Canis lupus familiaris: one gene and its partners. The protein of the gene in region 2 interacts with the protein of the main gene of each other region in a pairwise test. Links are inferred from orthologs where the notes say so. Each region holds a gene or a part of one and is shown on either strand. Other genes may lie near its edges.

Region 1 (3,748 bases), on a different chromosome or scaffold from region 2:
GCAGAAATAGTGATGGCCTCTTAGATTTTCCTGCACTAGTGTCCACTGACTTGTTTTATCATGTAGAGAGGGAAATAAGACTTTAAAGCTACAGAAGTTTTATTCACTAATGTTAATTCATGTTTCTTCATACTCAGGAGAATATTGTGTTTGAAGATTGTTTTAAAATGGCGTAAAGATTATATAATCATGTTTTTAAGAAGGGCATCCTCATGAATTTGTCAGAAAACAAGGTCTCTTAATTCTTTACCATTATATTAATATATGCAAGCCTTGTTTATTAAATCTGAGAACTTGTTAAAGGCACATATCACTGAGAGTTTTATTTTAAAAGGTCATGTTGTTTTTATTTAAACAGCCTTCATTGCCAAATGGAACAAAATTCTGTATCTATGTCACTAGAAATTTCACTGGGTGCTTTTTGTTGGCTGGCACAGCTGGGAAAAGCATCAAAATTAGTGACTGTCTAGTTGAGTTTCTTCCAGTACATTACTATTTGTTTATATATATGTATCAACAGTAGTTAAGGTAGCACCTACCTAATCACATCTTCATGAGGTGAATTCGGAAGCATGACTGAAGAAACCCCTAAATGATACATGACAGTACAGTCCACACTCGAGGATCAGTAAGCAAGCATGTTAATGATTTACGCACATTACATAATCACAACAGCCATACGACATGTAGCATTTTACCCCCAATTAATAGATGAGAACACTGAGAATCAGAGACGTGTCATCACGGGGCCCGCCTACCAGGCCGGTTCGCGGCTGGGTCGGATCCGAGCTTGGGAGACCAGTCAGTCCAGCCAACTGAGGGCCCCACGGCCAGCGTTAGGCAGGCGCGGCCACTAACAATTGCTGGGGTTTGACTCCGTCGGTCCTAGAGACAGCCGCGGCCCAGCACCCTCGGGTCACCAAGTGGCCCAGTTTAGTCACTAGAAGTTCAGGCCCCGCCTCTTTGGCCGGCGCAGGCGTTTTCCCTCCCGCCGCCTTTCGGCGTTTCTCCGCCCCCGCTCCGTGGCCTTCACGGCTTCCTTCATTTGTCTGCGACCGTGTCGCCTTGAGTGACGTCAGGGGCATCGGCCCTTCCCATTGGCCCATTTCAATAGTCGCGGGATACTTGAACTGCACGAACAGCCGCCGCTCCGGCGGGCTGCTCGCTACATCTCGGGGGCGTCTTGAGCCCTCCACGCCCGGCAGTTCCTGCCTGAGCCTTTCGCAACGTCCTCGGAGCTGCGCGATCCCGAGCGAGCAGGCTGGCCCGGACTGCCGCGGGCGGCTGCGGCTGGAGCGTTTCTCGGCGGGGTCGGCGGGACGCAGTACACGCTGCTTGGCGCCGCAGGCTGATCCCGCCGCGACCCGGGGAGCAGTGATGTTGGGCAGCTCGGAGCCTGGGCCTGAGGCCCGCGAGGCGGGCTCGTCGCTGCTAACGTTGCAGCATACGGCGCTCCAAGAGGACCAGGAGAACATCAACCCCGAGAAGGCGGCGCCCGCCCAGCAGCCCCGGACCCGGGCCGGGTTGGCGGTCCTGAAGGCCGGGAACCAGCGCGTCCCAGCGCCGCAGCAGAGGCCCAAGACACGGCGGGTAAAGAGATGAACGATATCTGCAGGCGAGGAGGGCCGAGCGGGAGTTTTGCACGAGGTTTGAGCAGGCCGGGGAGCGTGGCGAGAAAGCATCTTCCGAGCTGTTGTAAGGGAGGCCTGGGTCTGCAGTCCCCTTGATGCCTAGTGTTCTGGCGCGGGGGATGCCACGTAAATCTTTCCCATAGCTCTCTTCGCCAGCGCTGTGTGTTTTGCTCCCTGTCTGCTCTTTATTTGGTATATTTTCCGATAGAATATGAGGGTCAGACCGAGCACCACGACGTATGTCCGCGCTTTCTTCGCCGCTTTAAACCCCAGGCACTGCCCTAGGATCTGGACCCCCTTCCTGCTCGCCATTTGGTTAAGATTACCTTTACTTTAGGAAAGAGTATAAAAAATAATTTTTTTTTACTAAATTCCGCCATTTTACCGGATTTGCTCTGTTGCTCCACCCTGGGGCCAAAGCGGTGAACCAACACCTCTTTGCCGGCTCTCCTAAACTTGTCATCATTCAGCCTGCTACCCCACTCCTCTTGTGGCCTTGATTAGTTTTGCATAAATGCATTTAGTGTGATTCTATAACTTATGTAGAAATGCCGCTAACGAACTTGAACATCCCTTTCTTCAGCTATTCAAACTTTACTGCCTGGATTTTGTCCCAGATAGTTTAATTTCCTTAGAGTATTTGGGAGTGAAAACAGAAACTGAGAACCGTAAGGGGAAGAAAGCAAGCAGAACTCCATTTAATAGGCTCAAAGCTAGCTATTCATTTCTTTTTAGGTTGCACCTCTTAAGGATCTTCCTATAAATGATGAACAAGTCACTATTCCTCCCTGGAAAGCAAACAGTAAACAGCCTGCATTTACCATTCATGTGGATGAAACAGAAGAAGAGACTCAGAAGAGGCCAGCTGAATCTAAAAAAACAGAACATGAAAATGTCCTGGCTTTTAATTCAGCTATTACTCTACCTGGACCAAGAAAACCGCTGGTACCTCTTGATTATCCAATGGATGGTAGTTTTGGTAAGTTTTAAAGAACATCTGTATCAAATCAATGTAATCCTAAAGTGATTATGGATTAATGATAGTTTCATTTTAAGACATTATTTTACCTGACCCTTACTATATAATGAATTTGGTGTAATGTAACAAAGTTTAGAAAGGGTATGATTCATCTCCGATCTCACAGCTCATACATTGACCTAGTGACCTATAAATCCTAACTGGGTGCTCCTTCCTTCCCATATTACTGCCAATCACATCAATTTAATTAGATCTCAAACCCTTATTTTAATCTGACCCTGGAAATATTTGCCTGCTTGGGAGAATAGATTTGAACCGTATTCATAAACTCACTGTGTACATACCACTTACGAGAGTATTTGAATAGGATACAGCTTTCAATATTGTGATATCTAACATCTCTTACAGCTTAAAATTTTCTGTAAATCCAGTCTGATACCAGAGAGGGACACTGTCCTCCTGTGAGGCAAGAGTTGAATCATGACTGCAGCTAACCACATATAAAATGAAGTAGCTGCTATAAAGCAAGCTCTGCCAACAGTTTATGCGTGCAACTTCTTTACCATACATAGATAGGTCTGTTGAGTCACTGGATAATTCATTCGTTTCATCTCATTTAGGTTTTAGTTCTGAGAAGTGGTCTGGGAATAGCAGGAAAATCCTTTGGAAATAAAGTAATTTTTGTATTTTTCTTGAAAATTTATAACAAACTTTAACCTTACAATGAAACTTGAAAAGAGTAATGAATGATATTCTTTGCCTCAAAAAGTAATTTAAAATTACAAAACATGAAACATTTGGTGATTATAGTGTTAATTTGTTTGAATTGCTCATAACAAACCTAATTTTAATTAACATTAACCCTGCTTTTAGTTATTGCTACATTGTTCTTTGAATATGTCAGACTTTGGGGTCAGCACTCTTAAGGTAAATACTACATAATACCACAAAACTTGGATTTTAACTGTCTTTGCAGAATCACTGTGCCATTTGCTCTTCTCTCATGGAATATGATTGATACTTAAACATAATAATACATTTTCAAGCACACTCTTTTAGTGGCCTAGCAGTATTTTCTCTTGTTGATTAAAACCAAGTGGACTGGGGATCCCTGGGTGGCTCAGCGGTTTAGCGCCAG
Region 2 (3,648 bases):
GAAACTGACTTGTAAAGCAAAGAGAAAGGATTAGCTCAAATGATCAGAAAAGCTAGTAACACGGAGACTTCAATACTAAGAAAAGAGCCAAGAGAAGGAATCAGCAGTCACGACCGAATCATAATCAGCCATTAAGGAAATGCATATTAAACACAAAGAATGTGACTGTTCCAAGCACTGATGCGGACAGGAAAAAACCGAAACTCTCACAGGCCGTGGTGAAAACATAAGTGGTACAACCACTTTGGAAAACACTGGGCAGTTTCTTGGAAAGATCAATATACGCTGACTATGTGAGCCAGCGGTCTTGCTCCTCGGTATTTACCCAAAGGAATCAAAGTGTTTGTCCACGTGGAACTCGTACGTGAATGTTCTCCACAGTTTTACCTGCAAGAGACCCAAACTAGAAATGACCCAAACACTCATGACCTGACAGATGGATACACACACTGTGGTGCATCCAGACAGTGCACTACCCAGCAATAAAAAGAAATGAACTGTTGATGCCTGCTGAAAAACAGATCTCAAAATAATTGTGATGACTGAAAGAAGCCAGGCCAAGCAGGAGCACATGCCCTCTGACTCCACTCAACTGCAGTTCTGGGAAACACCAACCACAGTGGCCAAATGCAGAGGAGCAGCTGCTGGGCCCTGGCGGGAGGTGGCTGGGAGGGACCCCATAGGCCTGCAGGGCATGGGCCACTGCAGGGTGGGGTGGGGAGGGGGATGCACAAGTTGACCATGCTGCCTGTGGACGGTGCACACGTGGAAGACTCTTGTTCCACTGGGACAGTACCTGGGGACAGCCACTTAGAGGACTAATTTGGCAGCACCTGGTGAAATCGAAGCTCTGTACGTGCTCTGGCACAGCAATTCTGAGCGTGGACACAGACTCTAAAGCAGGATCGCAAACTCCAGCCCCAGGCTGGGTCCTGTTGTTGTGAATAAAGCTTTACTGGAACACAGCCACACACATGGTTTACTGCTGTCTACACCAGGGCTGCTTTCAGGCTACATCAGCAGAGCTGAGAAGCTGCAACAGACTGTACGCGGCTCATCAGCCTAAAATATTTACTATCTGGCCCTTCTCAGAAAATGTTTGCCGACTGGTGCTCCGAGAGACACTGGCATCTGCATGCCAGGAGACACATGAAAGGAGTTCGTCAGAGTTTATAACTGTGGAAGGCTGACGAAACCTATGTCCACCATTAAAGGAATTAACGAACAAATACTGGAATACCAGTCATCAATTAAGACGACTGAACTAGACCCCCAGGTATCCACACAGGGAGGGTCTCAGAACTTAATGGTGCCCAAAGAAAGCAATCTGCGTCACATGCCAGCAACAGGGCAGCACTGAAAACTCACCCGAGCAGAGGCAGCTGCGTTTAAAGTATGGCTCACACCAAGTTCGTCCCTGTGGCTGCCCTACGGACAGTGGGGTTGGGGCAGAGGCAGAAAAAACATCAACTTTTCCTGTACGTTTCAATTGCTTTTATTTTAAAACTCTAAGCTCTTTTCAGAAGACCAATCAGTGAAATTTAAATCTGATGTTTATGAGCGTACTACGGAAAACAGAGCAGAGCAGCCTCCTTGTTCCCTGTCTGCAATACACATCACCCCGATTCTGAAGCACTTATTAGCTGTACTTTTCTAAAGCAGCAAATGTTCACCACTCAAGGACATTTTTCCCTTTTATCTTCTAAAGTCAAAGTATGTACTCTGAAATTTACTCTTCAGACGAAAGCCTAAAGCACAGACCTTGTGTGCATCGCATAGCAAACAGGGCTATAAAATTTAAACCAACTGAAGCTTCAAAGGTTGCCTACATTAACAGCCTGGAGGGACACACTCACGGTTTCCGACTGGGTCCCAGAAACACTGCCAGGGACACCAGGACAGCCCCTCGGGCCTGTGAAAAGGCCTATGACATGAAAATTTCACAGCACAGACAATGGACCACAGAAAGACCATTCTTCTTTCAGAGGAGCCAACGGTGCTGCCGTGGATAGAGCCCCGGGGAGCACTCTTCTCCTGGGACTGTTCCGGGGCCCCCCTGAGGTGGCTATCAACTGCAGAGTCCCCTCCCTGCTGTTTCAAGCCACATCGTCATTACAAACCCGGACATCTGAGGCAGAATTATCTGTGCATGTGTGTAAAACTTCCTGGAATTGTTGGCTGCTGCTGAAACTATCCAAGAAACATCTTTCTGTTACAAAACCAGTAAGTGAAGATACATTCTTATTTTTTAAAGTGACTATAACAGAAACGTAGCTGTGACATTTGAGGCCTACTATGTGGCTGGCAAGTATTTGCCCCAGGGTCATATGCTCAGGGGCGGTGGCTGGCCAGGAGCTGCGGGTCCCAACAAACAACATCCCACAGCTGCAAGAAAGACAGCTGGCAGGCCAGGGATAAGCAGCACCTGGATTTAAAAGCCAGACTTGAAAACTCCCTGGTCTCTTAGTGTGGAGGCAGCCAGGGCCAGGCGGCCAGCCTCCCGACTCTGCAAGCAGGGAGAGGGACTGGACGAGGCAGGAAGGGGACAGCCACGGGATCAGAGCAGAACAGGCCCTTGGCCTTGATTCCTGAGCCCCCACCCAGGACACGCCAGAGGAGCCCAGAATTTTCTATCCTCCCAACCAAGGAGGAGGTGGAGCGGGGAGCTTTAAAGTGTGTCAGCGGACTCTGCTGATGAGCACATTTGCAGGCATCACTTCTTACCTTCTCTCCAGGTCTGGGTGACCGCTGTAACTTCTCATAATCTTTCTTGGTCTCCAGAATTTTTTTCACAAGTCCTCCTGTTGAGAATCAGTGATTTTATGTTATTCTCTAAAGAGCTCTTCTATTCTAAATGGGCAGAGGGGAGGCAAGAACACTAGTTTCTTGTTTTTCCTCTTTCTATCTATATTCTACATGGCTTCAAATCATCTTTATTTGCTTGGAGTCTACAATAGTCTAATACAGCTGGTGGTAGAAATTAACTATAAAACTTCAGAGTGAAAAAAAAAAAAACTTCAGAGTGTTTCAAAGAAATCAGCTCCTCAAAGGTAAAAAAAAAAAAAAAAAAACATTGGAAACAGAAAAGAATTATGAGGACACGTAGATGGACATTCAAACATATAGCCACCTTGCCACAAACAGGTGTGCCAACTCTGAGCTGTTTCTAAGCACAAATACTCCTTTTATATTAGTTCAAGAGCCTTCAACTTCCTTTAAAAAAAAAAAAAATTGCCCATGGGGGTAAATATCATACAAAACATTTTCTTTAGAATACTGTCTCATGCAAATGCACATCCATATGAAATTGGCTGCATACGCCCCGAAGCACCCGGATGGCAGAGGAGGGCTCAGCTGTGAGCAGCAGTGAGGATGACTTGTCTGCGCTGCTCGGGGACGAACGCCAACACACGATGCCAAGTCACAACAGCAAGACAGAGACACGCAGATACTGCTAAATGCACACACACACTCCAGGCACATGTACTAACTTACAGTTTTTTAAATCAAAGTATAAGCCATATGTCTTACCATTACCTACAGGGAGAGGGCAGGTGGAGGCCCCAATCTCAGAATATACATTGTTTGGTACATTTCACCTCAGAAATGTATTATTTTACATAAATAAAATCAGATTTTTCAATGCCT
Region 3 (3,748 bases), on a different chromosome or scaffold from region 2:
AATACATTTTAATAAGTTAGAAGAATACAAGATTATTACTAAAAATATTTATTATTATACTTTGTGGCCTGTTTGTAGCTTTTTAAATCATTCACTGACAGCTGTCACACTTTCAGTCTCACTGTGCTTGCCTCTCATTTGAAACTAATATTGCTACAGGCTGGAAATTAGAAAAACTTCAACTGCATATTAAATGATAGCTGGGACTTTTTAAAAGTTGAATCTGGTGTTTAGGGGCCTCTTCTCTAAATCTATGACTTACATTTGAGTTACAGTTGGTGGAAGACAGTTTTCTCAATATTTGGCTTATTGTTTATTATGCTTAAATAAACTTATTTTCTCTTTGAAATTACTTTCCTATCATTTATTTTTTAAAAAATAAGAAGTGGTTCTGAAATTATTCTCACCTTTGATCTATACATTTTGACCAGTTTTAGCCTCCGAAGAAGATCTTCTTTCTCCTCAATCTGCTTCACCAATTTTGCTCTTTCTTCACTTAATCCTTGTTTGGAAAGATCCTCATTCACAAAGTCACTCTGGAGATCACTGCGTGACTCAGTATCAAGAGACTTAGATTCACAAGCACTGATACTCTTGAAGGTATTTTTCAAACATGTACTTTCTTTGAATGGACTGTCTATGTGTTTAAAATTTTCTTGAAAATCCAAACAGTTTTCCTCTATTGAAGGTTCCTCAGGAAAAGTCTGATCGTTTTCTTCATTCTCTACTTTAAGACGTTTTACCGCACTGTAACAGGAATTAAATGAAAATCTAGTTTTCCTTAGTCGTTCTCTAAGTGTTGCACTCATCGGCTGAAAAGGAGCACAAAATAGTAATCAAGAAAAACATTCTTGTGTAAATAAATCTGCTAGAAATAAAGACCTTAACATTTCTATAGTGAAATAAAGACCTTAACATTTCTATAGTTGACACCACTAGATGGCTTTCTCTTTCCACGGATCTAAAGTAACCATCACAAAATGTCTTTCAATTCCTGCAAGCCCCATTAATTTTATTCTTTTTATTTTAGCAAAGTCAGCACCCTTCCAAAACAGTGTTGAGACACTTACCCCAGTCATCCCAAACATCTGTTCAGCAACTGTCACACTCCTGACACTTCTGAGTGCCTCAGAGTTACAAATTAAGGAGAAGACCTAGCTCCCTGCCACCAAAGACCTTCAGAATACTGCAGATTCAAACTTGCTCAATTTGGAATTTTGTAGTAACCTGATCTGAAACTAAATGAACATAATTGATACCAGATGAAAATGGTGGGGGTAGTTCAAACTCATTATCATAGGAGAAAGGCCTAAAATTACTTAATAGTCAATAAAATCTCTACTTTTTGATCTACACATTACGTTGATTAACAGTCTTCAGTAGAATTAAACCCACTGCTGGCACAATACCTAGAAATAAAGAATAGCTCCCATGCAAGAGCTCGGATATGCATACTTGTTTTCTTGAACTACTTGGGCGGGGAGATGGTGGACTGGCACAGGCCTGCGGAGTGCTAGGTGAAACCACGGCTGGGTCGGATGGGCTTTCCATCTTGAAAACGCAATCTTGGCTTACCTCTACAAAATTGAAAAATAACAACAAAAAATAACCAATCAGAATGTAAATACATACTGTTTCTGTAAAAGAACTTTTTACTGCTGTACATATCACCTCCACGAATAAGCCAGCCACAACTTCACTTAGTTGGGGTCCATTCTTGCTCGTTTTGCAGTTTTCCATTTACCTTCCTACCTACGACCGTGTGGGTCCACGTGGTGACTACCAGGACAAACGAGCTGGCATCTCCCTATAGAAACGCTCTCCACTTGTTTTATCTACATTAGAATATCCTCAGATCTGTCGTGTACGGAGTGGGAGAATTAACTGTGGCATTTTTTTTTTAAGATTTTATTTATTCACGAGAGACACAGGCAGAGGCAGAAGCAGGCCCCGTGCAGGGAGCCCGACGCGGGACTCAATCCCAAGACCCCAGGATCACGCCCTGGGCTGAGGGCGACGCTAAACCACTGGGCCACCCAGGGATCCCCTAACTCTGGGATTCTTAAGGAACTCTAATTTATAAGGAAATACAAACTCAAATCCTGACCCGAAAAAATCATCAGAACTGTCACAGTACCTTGAGCCCTATAAAGCTGTGTGACTAGAACCAATGACCACGGGGCCTGAGGAACAAGGAACAGGAGCGCAGGTAAGTGTACGCCCGTCTGTGTCGTTTGAGCAGCGAACTGACCCTGGAAAGGAGAGTTGGCACAAGTTTGTTTCCTCAAACAAAGGCATCAACTTTGGGGGGGGGGGGAGGGGGGCATTTTCCTCCTCCTTCCACCACAGCAGAAAACCCACACTAGCCCTCGGGAGCCCCCCGGGTCAGAGGAAGGGTTGGGAGGCGCCCTGCCCGCACAAAGGGAGCTCCGCTCGACGCGCCCGCAGACCCCGGAGCAGCCCACCCCCCACACTCCCATCCTCTCGCCCGCCCGCGCTCTACCTCCCTCCTCCACCTCCCAGAGCGCGGAAAACGCGCGCTGCCCTGGGGGGCGGGGCCGCAGGGGAAGCGGAAGAGACGCGCGATTGGTCCGATTGACCGACGCGCAGCGCCGCGTGCCTCAGCGCCCCGGGAGCGGCCGGACTGCGCGTGCGCGGTCTCCAGCGCGGCGAGGAGGCGGAAGCGGGCGGGGTCACGCGGGGCCCGCAGAGACGTGTGACTGGCCCGGTCGACAGTCGCTCGGCGCTCTGCCCCGCCCAACGCCGGAGCGCGGCGGCACAGGGCGCGCGCGGCCGCCAGCCTCCGCAGGGTTGGGGGCGGGCCGGGCTGAGTTTCTGAATGACTGACGGACGGATTCTGAGGGAACGGCTGAGGGAATGGGGCGGAGGGGCGGCGGCTTCTGAGGGAATGCGGGGGGGCGGGTTCCCTCGCCGACGTTCCAGGCCTCGCCTTCCCCTCCCGGCTTCTTTGTGTTTGTGTGTGAGGGAGGAAGCCCGGGCGTGCCCCGCGGCCCCTCGGGCCTCGCTCGCCGCAGCTAACGTCGCAGTGTCACGCGGCGGGGCCGAAGCCGCGGAGCCGCCCGTGGCTGGCGTTCACGGTCGGCTCAGCTGAGGCGGGGGGAGACTCCGACGTGTCAGACCTTTCCAGGAGGCCCGTGCGGCTGCGCACCTCTCCAGCCTTTGCTGCCGCGAACACTTTTTTTTTTTTTTTTTTTAAGATTTTACTTACTTATTCATGAGAGACGCAGAGACACAGGCAGAGGGAGAAGCAGGCTCCATGCAGGGAGCCCGACTTGGGACTCGATCCCGGGTCCGTCCCCAGGGTCACGCCCTGGGCCGAAGGCGGCGCTAACCGCGGAGCCACCGGGGCTGCCCGAGATTACTTTTAAAAATAAATAAATAAAAGGTTTGAAAAAAAAAGAAATAATCCTCACTTCCTGGTGGCGATGGTCTGTTGCTGTGCAACAACAAAGTTAAGTCAATTGGGCGGAGCCCTGGGTTTGGGGAAAGACGGTTCGTAATTTCTGAGTCACATGGAAGTCGGGGATTTTTAAGGAGCTGGTGTTTTCAACCCTCATAAATGGCCTTTGGAAACGTTGATACGGTCTCTCTACAAACACCTCATAGCACAGAAGTGCCAGGGCCCTGAGGGATTGACTGAGCAGTCGGAAATCGGGAACCTGAAGACAACCGAGTGCAGTGAGGAAGGACGTAAAGCTTGGTGGCAAATTGCCTGGGTCCAAATCCT

Evidence for each region. The genes of interacting proteins can lie anywhere in the genome.
Region 1: the proteins of TRAF3IP1 (region 2) and CCNA2 interact in a two-hybrid assay, tested with the Homo sapiens proteins (2 studies listed by BioGRID and IntAct). The link is inferred for Canis lupus familiaris from reciprocal best matches to the Homo sapiens genes TRAF3IP1 and CCNA2.
Region 3: the proteins of TRAF3IP1 (region 2) and SFR1 interact in a two-hybrid assay, tested with the Homo sapiens proteins (2 studies listed by BioGRID and IntAct). The link is inferred for Canis lupus familiaris from reciprocal best matches to the Homo sapiens genes TRAF3IP1 and SFR1.

What each region holds. Positions count from the first base shown.
Region 1 is NC_049240.1:19,143,548-19,147,295, forward strand, and holds the start of CCNA2 (cyclin-A2), read left to right. Parts: upstream 1-1,092; 5' UTR 1,093-1,377; coding exon 1,378-1,590; intron 1,591-2,366; coding exon 2,367-2,610; intron 2,611-3,748. UniProt on the Homo sapiens protein: Cyclin which controls both the G1/S and the G2/M transition phases of the cell cycle. Functions through the formation of specific serine/threonine protein kinase holoenzyme complexes with the cyclin-dependent protein kinases CDK1 or CDK2.
Region 2 is NC_049246.1:49,087,284-49,090,931, reverse strand, and holds part of TRAF3IP1 (TRAF3-interacting protein 1), read right to left. Parts: intron 2,802-3,648; coding exon 2,725-2,801; intron 1,429-2,724; coding exon 1,369-1,428; intron 1-1,368.
Region 3 is NC_049249.1:16,628,690-16,632,437, reverse strand, and holds the start of SFR1 (swi5-dependent recombination DNA repair protein 1 homolog), read right to left. Parts: upstream 2,487-3,748; 5' UTR 2,481-2,486; coding exon 2,466-2,480; intron 2,464-2,465; exon of another isoform or gene 2,420-2,463; intron 2,253-2,419; coding exon 2,138-2,252; intron 1,578-2,137; coding exon 1,456-1,577; exon of another isoform or gene 1,410-1,455; intron 813-1,409; coding exon 408-812; intron 1-407. UniProt on the Homo sapiens protein: Component of the SWI5-SFR1 complex, a complex required for double-strand break repair via homologous recombination. Acts as a transcriptional modulator for ESR1.